Linked DNA regions of Sus scrofa. Each later gene encodes a partner of the first gene's protein in a complex. Links are inferred from orthologs where the notes say so. Each region holds a gene or a part of one and is shown on either strand. Other genes may lie near its edges.

Region 1 (7,532 bases):
ACCCAGGCTAGGGATTGAGTTGGAGCAACAGCTGCCAGCCTGGACCACAGCCGTAGCAACATGGGATCTAAGCCATGTCTACGACCTATACCACAGCTCACAGCAACACCAGATCCTTAACCCACTGAGCGAGACCAGGGATCAAACCTGTAGCCTCATGGATACTGGTCGGATTCACTTCTGCTGCACCACAACAGGAGCTCCCCATATGATAGTTCTATATTTAGTTTTCTAAGGTACTTCCATGTGCTTTTCCATAGTGGTTGTACCAATTTACGTTTCCACCAACGGTGTAGGTGGGTTCCTTTTTCTTCACACTCTCTCCAGCATTTGTTATTTGTAGACTTAACAATGATGGCCATTCTGACAGGTGTGAGGTGTTACCTCATTGTAGTTTTTATTTGCATATCTCTGTTAGTGATGTTGAGCATTTTTTTCACGTGCCTGTTGGCCATCCATATGTCTTCTTTGGAGAAATGTCTATTTAGGTCTTCCTCTGATTTTTCAATTGGGTTGTTTGTTTTGTTGCTTTAGAGTTGTATGTCCTTTTTCCCTTTTAAACAAACTTTTAAGAGTAATTTTAGATTTACAGGACTATTTCAAAGTTAGTACAGAGAGTTTCCATTTACCCTACACTAAGTTTCCCCCATTGCTAAGTATGGTACATTAATTACAGTTACTTAATGCTGCTGATACATTATTATTAACTGATACATTGTTATTAACTAAACCAATGCTGATACATTATTATTAACTAAATCCAGCCCAGAGATGATGGTGATTTGGACCACAGTAGTGGTAGAGATGGGAGAGAAAGACACAGGTTATATTTGCGAAATAAAGTTAGTAGGACTTGGGGACCATTGGCAAAGGGATGGGGTGGTAAAAAGAGGAAGAAGTCAAAGATGACTCATATTTGGTTTGGAGTCATAGATGATCTTTAGACTTCTAGCTCGTATGGCTAATGGCTAAGTGAATGGTAGTGTCATTTATTACCATACAAATGGAAAAGCATGTCTTAAGGGGGGAAATAATAAGTTTAATTTGTGATTAATTGGATTTGGAGGCGCCTATGAAACTTTCAAGTGGAGATGTCCAGAGGCAGTTGGAATGTGGGTCTAGATTAGAGCTTGAGGGCAAGCGCCGGATTGGAAAAAATGCTTTGGAAGCTCTGGGAGAGGATGAGGAAAGAGTAAAAGGAGTGAGAAGAGGGCCCAGGACTGAGCCCTCGGGGAGGAAGAATAGGAACCTAAGCAAGAGAGAGAAGAAATGGCCAGTGATGGGAGAGGAAACCAGGAGGAATCTATAGGAATCTGGTGGGAGAAGGGAATTATAAGGAGAGAGTGATCAATAGTGTGAAATGTATCACAGAGGTCCAGAAAAATAAGTTCCAAGAAGTGCCAATGTTATCTTTCTGTTTCTATGCTCCCATGGAATGGGTTGGTTGGTTGGTTTTATAAGAAAAAAAATCACTTTACACTTCTTATGGGTGGCAATTTTTTTTTAATGCTGTGAAATCAATAACCTTTGCACGTACATTTCCTACAACTAGTGCCTGAAGTTTTTGCTGGCAGTGTCTGGTGGATATTTGTGTCTGAAGTGATGCCAGCTTTCGTTGGCATCTTCTGTGCTAATCTTTCCTATTCTGACTTGAGGATATTAAATCTCAACTGTGGTTTGGCTTCCAAAGTGGATCCTTAGACTGAATGTTCAGTCTGTTTCATTTCTTTCTAATCTTCTATCAATATCTTTCTATATATCTTTTTTTTTAACCTTTTCTCTTTAAACAGATATGTGAAAGAGGCCAAAGAAGCAACTAAGAATGGAGATTTGGAAGAAGCACTTAAACTTTTCAATTTGGCAAAGGACATTTTTCCCAATGAAAAGGTGATGAGCAGAATCCAAAAAATACAGGAAGCCTTGGAGGAATTGGCAGAACACGGAGAGGATGAATTCACAGATGTGTGCAACTCTGGCCTGCTGCTTTATCGAGAGCTGCACAACCAGCTATTTGAATACCAGAAGGAAGGTGTGGCTTTCCTCTATAGCCTGTACAGGGATGGAAGAAGAGGTGGCATTTTGGCCGATGATATGGGATTAGGAAAGACTGTTCAAATCATCGCTTTCCTTTCTGGTATGTTTGATGCTTCACTTGTGAACCATGTGCTGCTGATCATGCCAACTAGTCTCATCAGCACGTGGCTAAGAGAATTTGTCAAGTGGACTCCAGGAATGAGAGTCAAAACCTTTCATGGTCCTAGCAAGGATGAACGTACCAGAAACCTCAGCCGGATTCAGCAAAGGAACGGCGTCATCATCACCACCTATCAAATGCTAATCAACAACTGGCAGCAACTTTCCAGCTTGAATGGCCGAGAGTTTGTGTGGGACTATGTCATCCTCGATGAAGCACATAAAATAAAAACGTCATCTACCAAGTCAGCAATATGTGCTCGAGCAATCCCTGCTCGTAATCGCATTCTCCTCACAGGAACCCCGATCCAAAATAATTTACAGGAACTGTGGTCCCTGTTTGATTTTGCTTGTCAAGGGTCCCTGCTAGGAACATTGAAAACTTTTAAAATGGAGTATGAAAACCCTATTACTAGAGCAAGAGAGAAGGATGCTACCCCAGGGGAAAAAGCCTTGGGATTTAAAATATCTGAAAACTTAATGGCAATCATAAAACCCTATTTTCTCAGGAGGACTAAAGAAGAGGTACAGAAGAAAAAGTCAAGCAACCCAGAGGTCCGACTTAGTGAAGAGGATCCAGATGCTGATGCCATATGCGAAATGCCTTCCCTTTCCAGGAAAAATGATTTAATTATCTGGATACGCCTTGTGCCACTACAAGAAGAAATATACAGGAAATTTGTGTCTCTAGATCATATCAAGGAGTTGTTAATGGAGACGCGCTCACCTTTGGCAGAGCTAGGTGTCTTAAAGAAGCTGTGTGATCATCCCAGGCTGCTCTCTGCACGGGCGTGTCAGTTGCTGAATCTAGGGGCTGTCAGATTCTCTGTCCAAGATGAAATTGAAGGGGAAGATTCCTCAGGTGTGGACCATATTGATCAAGTAAGTGATGAGACACTGATGGAAGAATCTGGAAAAATGACATTTCTAATGGACCTGCTTAAGAGACTGCGGGATGAAGGGCATCAAACGCTGGTGTTTTCCCAGTCAAGACAAATTCTAAACATCCTTGAACGCCTCTTAAAGAATAGGCACTTTAAGATACTGCGAATCGATGGAACAATCACTCATCTTGTGGAACGAGAAAAAAGAATTAGCTTGTTCCAGCAAAATAAAGACTATTCGGTTTTTCTGCTGACCACTCAAGTAGGTGGTGTGGGCTTAACATTAACTGCGGCAAGTAGAGTTGTCATCTTTGACCCTAGCTGGAATCCTGCAACTGATGCCCAAGCTGTGGATAGAGTTTACCGAATTGGACAAAAAGAAAATGTTGTGGTTTATAGGCTAATCACTTGTGGAACTGTAGAGGAGAAAATATACAGAAGACAGGTTTTCAAGGACTCATTAATAAGACAAACTACTGGGGATAAGAAGAACCCTTTCCGATATTTTAGTAAGCAGGAATTGAGAGAGCTCTTTACAATTGAGGATTTTCAGAACTCAGCAACCCAGCTGCAGCTTCAGTCTTTGCATGCTTCTCAGAGGAGATCTGATAAAAACCTAGATGAACATATTGCCTACCTGCACTCTCTGAGGATAGCTGGAATCTCAGACCATGATTTGATGTATACACGGGATCTGTCTGTTAAAGAAGAGCTTGATGTGATCGAAGACTCTCACTATATTCAACAAAGGGTTCAGAAAGCTCAATTCCTTGTTGAATCTGAGTCTCAAAATACAGAGCTCTTAATGGAAAGACAAAGGACAGCAAGTGAGGGGATCTGGCTGAGAGAACCTGTCTTTCCTTCTCAAACAAAGAAGAAATGTGCTGGATTCAATAAACCACAGCCTCGGCCTTCACCTCTTCTACCCACTCATCACATCCAGGAAGAAGACATCAGTTCCCAAATGGCCAGCATAATTATTGATGATCTGCCTGAAGAGAGTGAGAAACAAGATCTCTTCAGGATAAAGATGAATGATACCAGCCCTCAAAATGGTAGACACCCACGTGACAGTATATTGGATGCTAACTTTGTAGATACTTTACCCAGTGGGGGTGGAAAGGTAGAAGAAATTTGGACTGACTCTTTATCAGGGATGGCTCTACAGAAAGAGGCACTGCAAGAGGGGCCTATACAGGAGGTATTACGAGAGAGCCCCCTGGGAAGTTTTAGTTATTTACCCAACAAGTCAGTCAGAGCTGATATTGAGCCAAATCTAGATCATCTAGAGGATGATGAGATTTTACATCCCTGCAATCCCTGGCCTGTTAATCCCATAACAAAGGAGTCTCAAAATCCAGAATTGAGTGTGTCTGTTATTCAAATAGTGGATGATGGCTTAACAGCAGCCCACAGCACACTGCAGGATGCTCAAGTGAATGAGGTCAAGTTGGAAGAGGAACCTTTAGCATCTTCAGCACAGTACACATGTGATTTCAATCTTTTCTTGGAAGACTCTGCAGACAATGGACCAAATCTTTCCAGTCAGTCAGTGGAGCATGGTGAGAAAGAAAACAGCCTGTGTGGCTCTGCAGCTAATTCTGGAGTAGAGTTTGTGCATAGCAAAGCATGTCTCAGTGTGGATCTTTCTGAGAAAGATGAGGAGCCAGAAGAAGTTGTAGTTAATGTGAAAGTCAGAAGTAAAGCTAGACGGATTGATTCAGATGACGAAGATGCAAATGATACTTTTAAAGATACTTCAAGCACAAACCCATTCAACACATCTCCCTTCCCGTTTTTATCTGTAAAACAGTTTGATGCCTCAACTCCCAAAAATGACATCAGTCCACCTGGAAGTTTCTTTTCACCTAAAATATCTGATAGTATAAATAAGTCTATAAACTCTAGAAGATCTCTGGCTTCTAGGAGATCTCTTATTAATGTGGTTTTAGACCATGTGGAGGATATGGAGGAAAGACTTGACAATAGCAGTGAAGCAAAAGTTGCTGAAGATTTTCTGGAGGAAGGAGCAGAGGAAAGCATCAATGAAGCCCCAGAGTGTACAGAAGAATCTTCTGGAGAAACACTGTCTTCAGAAAATAAGTCCAGTGGGTTAAGTACACCTGGGCCTGGTGGTCTGGCTCCGGAGACCTCTTCTGGTGATCCTGAGCCTTCGTCTGGTGGACAGTTGGTTGACTCTCCCCAGGATGAGGCAGTGGAGTCAGTAAATGACTATGAGACTCTGGTCTTGCGTGGAAAAGAACTGAAAGCATGTGGAAAAATACAGGAGGCCTTAGACTGCTTAGTTAAAGCACTTGACATAAAAAGTTCAGATCCTGAAGTCATGCTCATGACTTTAAGTTTGTATAAGCAACTTAATAAAACTTGAGAATATAACCTGTTTATTGTATTTTAAAGTGAAACTGAGCATGAGGGAATTTGTTTCCATAATTGGATTCTTTAGGAGCCATGAAGCATTCAGGCTTAAGGCTAGAAAACTCAAAAAGTGAGTTTTTGTTTCCGACTTTCTTATAAATTCTGCCTTTACTGCCTGCTCCTGCCTCCCTCCCACCCCCGTACATGTATTCGGATGTTCTGAGCACTAGGTTTATTTTTTATTTTATTCTTATTTTTCTTTTAGGCATGCTCTGTAAGCTTAATAGAACAGTGTTATTTCTAGAGAAGTTTTTGCAAAATTACTCTGGCCATTTTAAATTTTATTCTGAAAATGATCCATTTTGTATATCACAGTTCAGATAATATTAAAGTTAACTCTTCTCAAGTGTTTTTCCTTCACTTTCTTTCACTGAGATGATTGATATTGGCACATGCATCTAGAAATTCCTTTAGGCAGAAATCTGTCATTAGTAGTCCAGATCTAAGACCTGCTTATTAACATGCTATTTTAGGCCCTCGGCTCACTATAGCTGGTGAGCCAAAGGCTGGGATAAGGTACCTGGTGCGGGCCTTTTTTCTTTCTTTCTTTTTCTTTCTTTTTTTTTTTTTTACATTTATTGCTTTGTTTATTGTCTTTTCTAGGGCCGTACCCTCAACATATGGAGGTTCCAGGGATCGAACCCGCAACCTCATGGTTTCTAGTTGGATTTGTTAACCACTGAGCCACAATGGGAACTCCAAGGGCTTCCTTCTTTATCACCGGTGCCCTACCCTGGAGTCCTTTTGCCCAAACATCTGGCCATCCTTCACTCACCACCAGCTGCATGCTGACACATGCTAGCACATCCTATCTTTGGGTTATAGATGGGAAAGGAGTTTGGTTCCACCCTAGAAACACGAAGTACGATACAGCCTTCTGCACACTGTCACTGGAGAATTTATCAATAATCTACTATGTATTAGGTACTCTGCATGGGTTTCTTGTTTAATCTTTACCATAGCCCTTTGAAGTCAAAGGCAGTATTTCCACTTTTTTTTCTTTTTCGGCTGCCCCGCATTCTGGGCCAGGGATCAGATCTGCGTCACAGGCTTGACCTAAGCCACAGCTGTGGCAATGCCGGATCCTTAACCCACTGTGCCAGGCCAGGGATTGAACCTGAGTCCCAGCACTCCCTAGACGCCACTAATCCTGTTGCGCTGCTGTGGGAACTCCAGCATTTCCATTTTTCAGTTGAGTAAAATGGCTTAATGAGGGCATGACCTGCCCAAGATCACACAGTAAGAGGTGGAATGGATTTTTAACTATGTGTTACTTTGTGAAAAGCCATTATAATAACCAAGCTGTTTTTATTCACAGCGCTTCTGACACCAAATGTGGGGGTTTTCCACACCAAGCAGTTCTCCAGTTCTCGACAGACACCAACTGGGTGTCCTACAATTCAATTCAATTCTGATCCTCCCTGGCTTAGGATTGGACTGCACACGGGTTTAAGGGCTCACTCCCATAAGACTGTCCTCACATCAGATGTCACTTGTTTGTATTAGGTCCCCACATTATCCACACTTCTGTCCAGCTTGTGGGCTACGAAATTGAGGGCGCCCATGAGCCCTCTTAAGGTTCAGTAATTTTCTAGACTGGCTCATAGAACTTAGGAAAACTTATTACCAGGGTTTTGTGGGGTTTTTTGTTTGTTTTGTTTTGTTTTGTTTTTATCAAGCCCCTGGCATGTGGAAGTTCCCGGACCAAGAATCAAAACAGTGCTACAGCAGCAGCCCAAGCCACTGCAGTGACAAAGCCAGATCTTTAACCTGCTGTGCCGCAAGAGAACTCCCTTACCAGTTTTTATAAATACAACTCAGGAACAGCCAAATGGAAGATTTGTGTGGGGCAAGGTGTGGGAGGGTGTGTGTGTGTGGTTTCCCTGTGTTCACTGGCTGAAGCTCTCCAAACCCTGTTGTTTTGGATTTTTAAGGGAGGTTTCACTGTAGGCATGATTGTTTAAATCCATCTCCAGCCCCTCTCCCTCTAGAGGCCAGGGGGTGGGGTCAAGAGTTCCA
Region 2 (7,532 bases), on another chromosome or scaffold:
TAATAATTATCTTTTTATGTGCTTATTTGCCATTTATATAGCATTGTTCTTTTTTTTTTTTTTTTTTTTTTTTTTTTGTATTTTAGGATCACACCTGCAGCACATGGAAGTTCCCAGGATAGGGGTGGCCGGTGTATGCCACAGCCACATAAACACCAGATCCAAGCCACATCTACACCACAGCTCACGGCAATGCTGGATCCTTAACCCACTGAGTGAGGCCAGGGATCAAACATGCATCCTCATGGATACTAGTCAGGTTCATTATAGCTGAGTCACGAAGGGAACTCCTATACAGCCTCTTTGAAGAGGCTGTTGAAACCATTAGATGGGTTGTATGTCGTTACTGAGTTTGAGTGTCCTTTATGTCTGGGTTCAAGTGCTTTATCAGATAAATGATTTGGTACTATTTTCTTCCAGCCTGAGCTTGTTTTTCATTCTTCTAAAGAAGTTTTCAATTTTGATGAAGTCCAATTGATCAGCTTGTTCTCTCATGGATCATATTTGTGGTGGAATAGCTGAGAAATACTGGCCTAAAACAAGGTCATAAAGGATTGCTCTTAGGTTTTCTTCTAGAAGTGTTAGAGTTTTAAGACAGCATTTATTTTTACATCAACCTTCCACTTATAGTTAGTTTTTGTATGTTATATGTAGGATAAAAACCTTTCATTTTTTACCTTTTTTTTTTCTTTGCCTATATGTATCCAGTTTTTTCAGCATCATTTGTTGAAAAGATTATCCTTGCTCCACTGAATTGCCTTTCAATTTGTGTTGAGAATCACTTGTCCATATAGATGTAAATAAGCCTCTAAAACTGTCCAGGCCTGGCAGTGGGGAAAATCACTAATGAAAGCAGTGAGAACTCCATGATCCTAAATGGTCTGGTCAGGTGCCTTCTGGTAGGGAGTTTGGACTCAAGCTTTGAAGTCTTTAAAGAGTATCTTGGAGTCTGATTAGGGGAGACTAATGCCTTGGGAGTCCATTAGGGGTGGACCTGCAGTGTGCCAGCCTTGAGTGAGTTGAGATAATCCCTGAAATCATTTTTGGTAGGGCTTAATCCTCTCACCGTCCTCTGTTGAGCAACACTGGATAGAACCTATAAAATACCTTTCTAGATGCATCAGGGAAGCGAGAATACTTTACGTGCAATGAGTACTTTAGTATGTGGGGTTTAATACTCTCCTTTGATTGAGATGGGCTACTGGACCACTAGGAGACCAAGACTTAGAAACCAGGAGGCCTTGTCATTTTATGGAATCCACAGTCGCCTGAACTTTGGGGAGTTCTGGGCCTTTTCTAGCCTGAGTTCAGACATGACTTCAGGCAGTGGTAGAGTGGCAGCAGACTGCCACTCTCATAACCCCATTTCTTCCAAGCTCAGCACTGTGCATCTCAGAAGCTGTCCAGAGTGGAGACACGTGCTCCCCTAGAGGCTGCAAACTGGACAACAGACTGCTGCCTTCTGGAGGTGCCCTAGGCGGGGATCCTCCCTGTCTGAAAGCAGTCAGGGTCATGAGGTGGCCTGCCCATGGCCAAACTGCCACAGGAGCTCCTCCTGTTCCTGAGGTCTCTCTCCTGGACCTCTCAGGACTCTTGCCCAGCTTTGCCAGCATCTGTTCCTGGTCTTCTGCCAGGCCCTGTGGGCAGGAAGTCCAGCACTGATGTTCCACAGGAATTGGAAGCCTTTGGGGTCCAGCCTGAGCCTCTCAGGAATTAGAGCAGGTTTGGTGCTGGGATGCAGGTTGGTATCAGTTGTGTGTTCCTGAACCAGCAGAGTGATTCCCCAGGCCCAGGAAGCACTTTCTCACAAGTTCCTGAGATTGACCTTGGCCCGTCTGTGCAGGACACAGACCAGTGTCTAGTGTCGTAAATCAGAACACTCACCTAACACAGTTTTTGTTTTCCAGGCGCTCCTAGCAGGCATGCGGAACCGGGAGAACAGCTCGCCCTGCCAGGGCAACGGGGAGCAGGCGGGCAGGGGCAGGAACTCGGGCTCGGTGTGGCCGGGAGAGGAGGAGCCGGGCAATGACGTGACCACGCCCTCCTACAAGAAGCCTCTGTACGGCATCTCGCACAAGATCATGGAGAAGAAGAACCCTCCCCCTGGGGACGTGCTCAACACGTACGAGCTCTTTGAGAAGGCGAATCCCAGCAACAGCCCCTCACCACTGCGGCTCCTGAATGAGCCACAGAAGCGAGACTGTGGCGGTGGCGCGGCGGCCACCGACGGCGACCCCAACATCTACTTTCTCATCCAGAAGATGTTCTACATGCTCAACACGCTCTCCTCCAACATGTCGCAGCTGCACAGCAAGGTGGACCTGCTGTCCCTGGAGGTGAGCCGCATCAAGAAGCAGGTGAGCCCCACGGAGATGGTGGCCAAATTCCAGCCGCCCCCTGAGTACCAGCTCACGGCGGCCGAGCTCAAGCAGATCGTGGACCAGAGCCTGTCAGGCGGCGACCTGGCCTGCCGCCTGCTGGTGCAGCTCTTCCCCGAGCTCTTCAGCGACGTGGACTTCTCCCGGGGCTGCAGCGCCTGCGGCTTTGCGGCCAAACGGAAGCTGGAGTCGCTGCACCTGCAGCTCATCCGCAACTACGTGGAGGTCTACTACCCGTCGGTGAAGGACACGGCCGTGTGGCAGGCGGAGTGCCTGCCCCAGCTGAACGACTTCTTCAGCCGCTTCTGGGCCCAGCGGGAAATGGAGGACAGCCAGCCCAGCGGCCAGGTCGCCGGCTTCTTTGAGGCTGACCAGGTGGACTCGGGCCATTTCCTGGACAACAAAGACCAGGAGGAAGCCCTGTCCCTGGACCGGAGCAGCACCATCGCCTCGGACCATGTGGTGGACACACAGGACCTCACTGAGTTCCTGGATGAAGCCTCTTCGCCGGGGGAGTTCGCCGTCTTCCTTCTCCACCGGCTCTTCCCCGAGCTCTTCGACCACCGGAAGCTGGGCGAGCAGTACAGTTGCTACGGGGACGGCGGCAGGCAGGAGCTGGACCCGCAGAGGCTGCAGATCATCCGCAACTACACAGAGATCTACTTCCCCGACATGCAGGAGGAGGAGGCCTGGCTGCAGCAGTGCGCCCAGCGCATCAATGATGAGCTCGAGGGCTTGGGGCTAGATGCGGGCAGCGAGGGCGAGGCCGCGCGGGATGACTGCTACGACTCCTCCAGCCTGCCCGATGACATCTCCGTGGTCAAGGTGGAAGACAGTTTCGAGGGCGAGCGGCCTGGCCGGCGGTCCAAGAAGATCTGGCTGGTGCCCATCGATTTCGACAAGCTGGAGATCCCTCAGCCCGACTTCGAGGTGCCGGGCGCCGACTGCCTGCTCAGCAAAGAGCAGCTACGCAGCATCTACGAGAGCAGCCTGTCCATTGGCAACTTCGCCTCACGCCTGCTGGTGCACCTGTTCCCCGAGCTCTTCACCCACGAGAACTTGCGGAAGCAGTATAACTGCAGCGGCTCCCTGGGCAAGAAGCAGCTGGACCCGTCTCGCATCAAGCTCATCCGCCACTACGTGCAGCTGCTCTACCCGCGGGCCAAGAACGACCGCGTCTGGACGCTGGAGTTCGTGGGCAAACTGGACGAGCGCTGCCGGCGCCGGGACACGGAACAGAGGCGCTCCTACCAGCAGCAGCGCAAGGTCCATGTGCCAGGGCCCGAGTGCAGGGACCTGGCCAGCTATGCAATCAACCCTGAGCGGTTCCGGGAGGAATTTGAGGGGCCCCCACTGCCCCCTGAAAGGAGCAGCAAGGACTTCTGCAAGATCCCCCTGGACGAGCTGGTGGTGCCCTCGCCCGACTTCCCGGTGCCTTCGCCGTACCTGCTGTCAGACAAGGAGGTGCGCGAGATCGTGCAGCAGAGCCTTTCCGTGGGCAACTTCGCCGCCCGGCTGCTCGTCAGGCTCTTCCCCGAACTCTTCACCGCCGAGAACCTGCGGCTGCAGTACAACCACTCCGGGGCCTGCAACAAGAAGCAGCTGGACCCCACGCGCCTGAGGCTTATCCGCCACTACGTGGAGGCCGTGTACCCGGTGGAGAAGATGGAGGAGGTGTGGCACTACGAATGTATCCCGAGCATCGACGAGCGGTGCCGCCGGCCCAACAGGAAGAAATGCGACATCCTGAAGAAAGCCAAGAAGGTGGAAAAGTGATGGACACCTCGGGGCACTGAGCCTTCTGCGGGAGCACACGAGGGTCCACAGCCTTGTCCACAGCCGCGCGCACCTTATGTCGGAGGGGAGTGGCCTACTGCATTTGCACACGTAATCGCTCAGCCAGCTACAAGACAGAAGCCTTTCATTTGGTCTCTTGTACTTATGACATTTGTCCTGTGCTCCTGGTGGCCCAGCCGGAGTCTTGGGAGGGGTGGGGGGAGAGCTGAGCCTTGAGAGCAGAGAGTCAGGGTTCCCACTCCTTGGCAGTGTCGCCCCAAACCCCTCACAATTTGAAATGCAAATTGAGCAACACTCTTGTTCTGCTTCCCACATTTTACATCTTCCATTTTTATCAATTTTTTTTAATTAAAAAGGAAACCGTTTTTAAGAAAATCAGTGGGCTCTATGGAAGCCATTTTGCTTAGAAAAAAAATCTTTTAAATATTTGAAATGAAGTACTGTAAGATGACTTAAGTTGCTGGGATTTTTTTTTTAAGATGGTTTCAGATAATGAAATTTTTAGAAGTGCCATGTTCATGCATGATGGCTAATAATAGCTTCAGGTTGCATAGAAATGGATGTTACTGACCTTGTCTTTTTCATCAGATTTTGGAAGAGTCAAGATGCCTCTCAGATGGCAGTAGAGGGGATGAAATAGCTTGATGTCCTTTTGTCCATGGTCAGTCCTGCTCTCCCTCCTACTGTAGTGCCGAGGAAGGGGCTCAGGGGGTGGCCTGGCCTGTCCCACATTGCTGCGCCGGTAGAATGTTGTGCTCACTCTGTAGCCGAGAACACTGGATGATGATGATGATGATATGAATGTAGATAGACGTGGTAACACGTTCACAATGTCTTCATTTGAACTGTGTCCTTCTACTGCCCCCTTTCCTCTCTAAACGAGGTTGCTGGTTGGAGGGGCAGACACATTTCCTTGGAAGAGAGTGTGTGTGGATATTTGGCTTCTTGTTTGATTTAAGGATGGGTCCCTTGGGGCTCACCAAGAACTGTTTACTTTCCATGTGTGTAATTGTACAAAACCCGGGTTCTGGGAGCTGGATGGTGACGCACCACACGTCAGTGTCAGCTCCTCCAGTCAGTACACATCCTCGTTCCTCAGGGCAGGCCCAGGCCTTGGGCCCTCTTGGGGATACCTGCTATTGGCAGGACACAGGCCATCTCAAATGGGGCGCCCGTGTCCCTTCCCAGGGTCCACTCAGAGCTTTCCCCTTGCATCCCGTAGAAGACCCTGCTGTCCTACATCTGGCCAGTCCTTTGGCCTCGGGGTAAGACACCTCTTCTCTCCCCTCTGGGAAGGTCACACTGATCCAGGCCAGCGGCATGTTCTCTGGGATTCCAACCAGGAAACTCCCCAACAGGTAAAGAAAGTCCTTAATAGGAAAACAATACTTTTTACCTCCCTGATATTGTGCCTAAGAGGGAAAGGAAACAGTCTACCCAAACTGAATACACATCCCACCAGAAAGCTAGAAAATGAATTGATTCAGACAGGGTAGATCTAAAACCCTTGTGAAATATTACAGATTTAATAACCTTGATGGCCTAATATTTTGCTACCTTAAAATGCAGAAATAATGGAAACAATCTGTGAATTTTCTTTATACAGATGAGGGCTTCAGTTCCAGTGGCTGTATGATGGAATTTTGCCTGCACCCAATGGGCATTTTTTGTTTTTTAACATGACAGGATTTTGAGCAATGTAAAGTTGCTGATCTAACTTTAGTAAATTTGCTTTGTCATGGTATTTACAGATTATATCTTTTGAAACTTCGGACCTAAATTATTGCAGTTCAGAAATGCACAGGGACTTCATCGTGACCCTCTCCTACCCACCCACACATGCACACACACATTTCTTAGTAGAAAACTGAAGTGAGATGAAGGGGACCGACATGAAGAACAAGTTCAACCTCTTTGTGCCTGGAAAGGAGGAGAACTGGAGCAGCCGGAGACTCGCTTCCCCTCACCCGGGCCTTTCTCTATGCCTTAGTCGCTCCAGCACACACCTGCATGGCCGCTCGCGCATGCGCGCAGGGCCGACCCAAAGATGGCGTTGGCGCTCTCGCTCCCCGGCCCTGTGGGTGGGAGGGTGCCCGTGGAATTTCTTCTGGTCTCTAGGATGTATCCAAGAGGATTCCAAGCCATGTGAAAACCGCCCTGCTTTCTAGAGGGTGGAATGTGACCCTGCAACTTCAGAAGCACAATCATTTAATAGTTTTTTTTTCAAAGAGCATCCTATCTACCCACAGTGAGACATCAGCAGGTTCTAGGAACGGAATGTGTTTATAACCTAGAGCGTGTTCACTTTTTGGAAACTGCATTTTGGTGTTTTCCTGAATACCTTTCCCTTGTAGGGCTTTCTCCCTCCGCCCAAATCCTAGAGTCCCTTTCAGTGAAGAGAGGTGGATGCTCTCTGTGAGCTGTTTCTTTTCTCTCTCGACTGACTCATCAGGAACCGCCTTCTGGTCCGGGGTCTGTCTGTGTGGTGTCCTCGGTGCTCGAGCCATACAGGTGGGCTCCAGGAGCAGTGTTTTTGTTTTTGTTTTTGTTTTTGTTTTTACACAAAGCAATAGAAGTATTAAAATGCTATTTTTTTCCCAAAATTTGTGTTCCATAAAATCTGTTGGCAAAACCCCTTCTCCTAATTACTCTTCTCCTTCATCTAAAGTCTTTGATTTTTACTTGTTTGTTTATTGGGATCCTTCCCCGCTCATATCCAGAGGACTAAAGAAGTAGCACAGACACATTCTGATGTTAAGTAAAAAATAGCAAGTCACAATAGGTGGTAGTGTCCCTCTGTTAGTAAGATTTAAAAGAATGTATGAAGATAGTCATGAATGTACTAAGTGTTCTAATCCTGCTTCAGTTCACTTTGGCTGTGTCTACATGACCACACACGTTTGACAGGGAGTAAAGTTGTGTCCAGTGTCGTGGGTGTTAGTGTGCCCCTCCCCCTTCAGCGCTGGCCCCGAACCTTCCTTTCTGCTTAGGTTTGGAGGGAGGGGCACCGCGTCAGCAGCTGTCATCAACCCGCCAATGGGATCTACTTAGGGGTGAATGGATTAACTGTTTTAATGCTGAGTCACTGGTCTGACCACACCTCAGCGTGGCCACTCAGGTGCTTGCGGAGATGGCCTCAGTTTCCATCTTTCCCCACAAATGTTTGCTTCTTGCCTGATGGAGGAGGGTCTCGAGAGCCCTTACTGGAGGTCACTGAGCTCTTACCCTGCCTCGCTGTGTAGATAGATGATACGATGTGGGGGCGGGGAGCCCATGGGGCTCTTACTGCCGTTTGGAGATGTTGCCTCGAGTAGATCCAGCCTTAATGTTGTTCTGACATCCTAGTGATAGCAGACC

The links.
Region 2: the proteins of ERCC6L (region 1) and BEND3 are in contact, whole or in part, in a crystal structure (PDB 5JNO), measured with the Homo sapiens proteins. The link is inferred for Sus scrofa from reciprocal best matches to the Homo sapiens genes ERCC6L and BEND3. Residues at the interface, in NP_060139.2 of Homo sapiens: Ala10, Glu11, Ala12, Leu13, Ser14, Pro15, Glu16, Ala18, Ala19, Tyr21, Leu22, Arg23, Lys26, Phe51, Pro52, Asn53, Glu54, Lys55; in NP_001073919.1 of Homo sapiens: Glu252, Gln255, Ile256, Gln259, Leu261, Asp265, Arg269, Val272, Gln273, Pro276, Phe279, Ser280, Phe335, Arg338, Phe339, Gln342, Glu346.

Annotation. Positions count from the first base shown.
Region 1 is NC_010461.5:58,085,492-58,093,023, reverse strand, and holds the end of ERCC6L (DNA excision repair protein ERCC-6-like), read left to right. Parts: intron 1-1,790; coding exon 1,791-5,466; 3' UTR 5,467-5,808; downstream 5,809-7,532. UniProt on the Homo sapiens protein: DNA helicase that acts as a tension sensor that associates with catenated DNA which is stretched under tension until it is resolved during anaphase. Functions as ATP-dependent DNA translocase. Can promote Holliday junction branch migration (in vitro).
Region 2 is NC_010443.5:73,184,986-73,192,517, reverse strand, and holds part of BEND3 (BEN domain-containing protein 3), read left to right. Parts: intron 1-1,907; coding exon 1,908-4,154; 3' UTR 4,155-7,532. UniProt on the Homo sapiens protein: Transcriptional repressor which associates with the NoRC (nucleolar remodeling complex) complex and plays a key role in repressing rDNA transcription.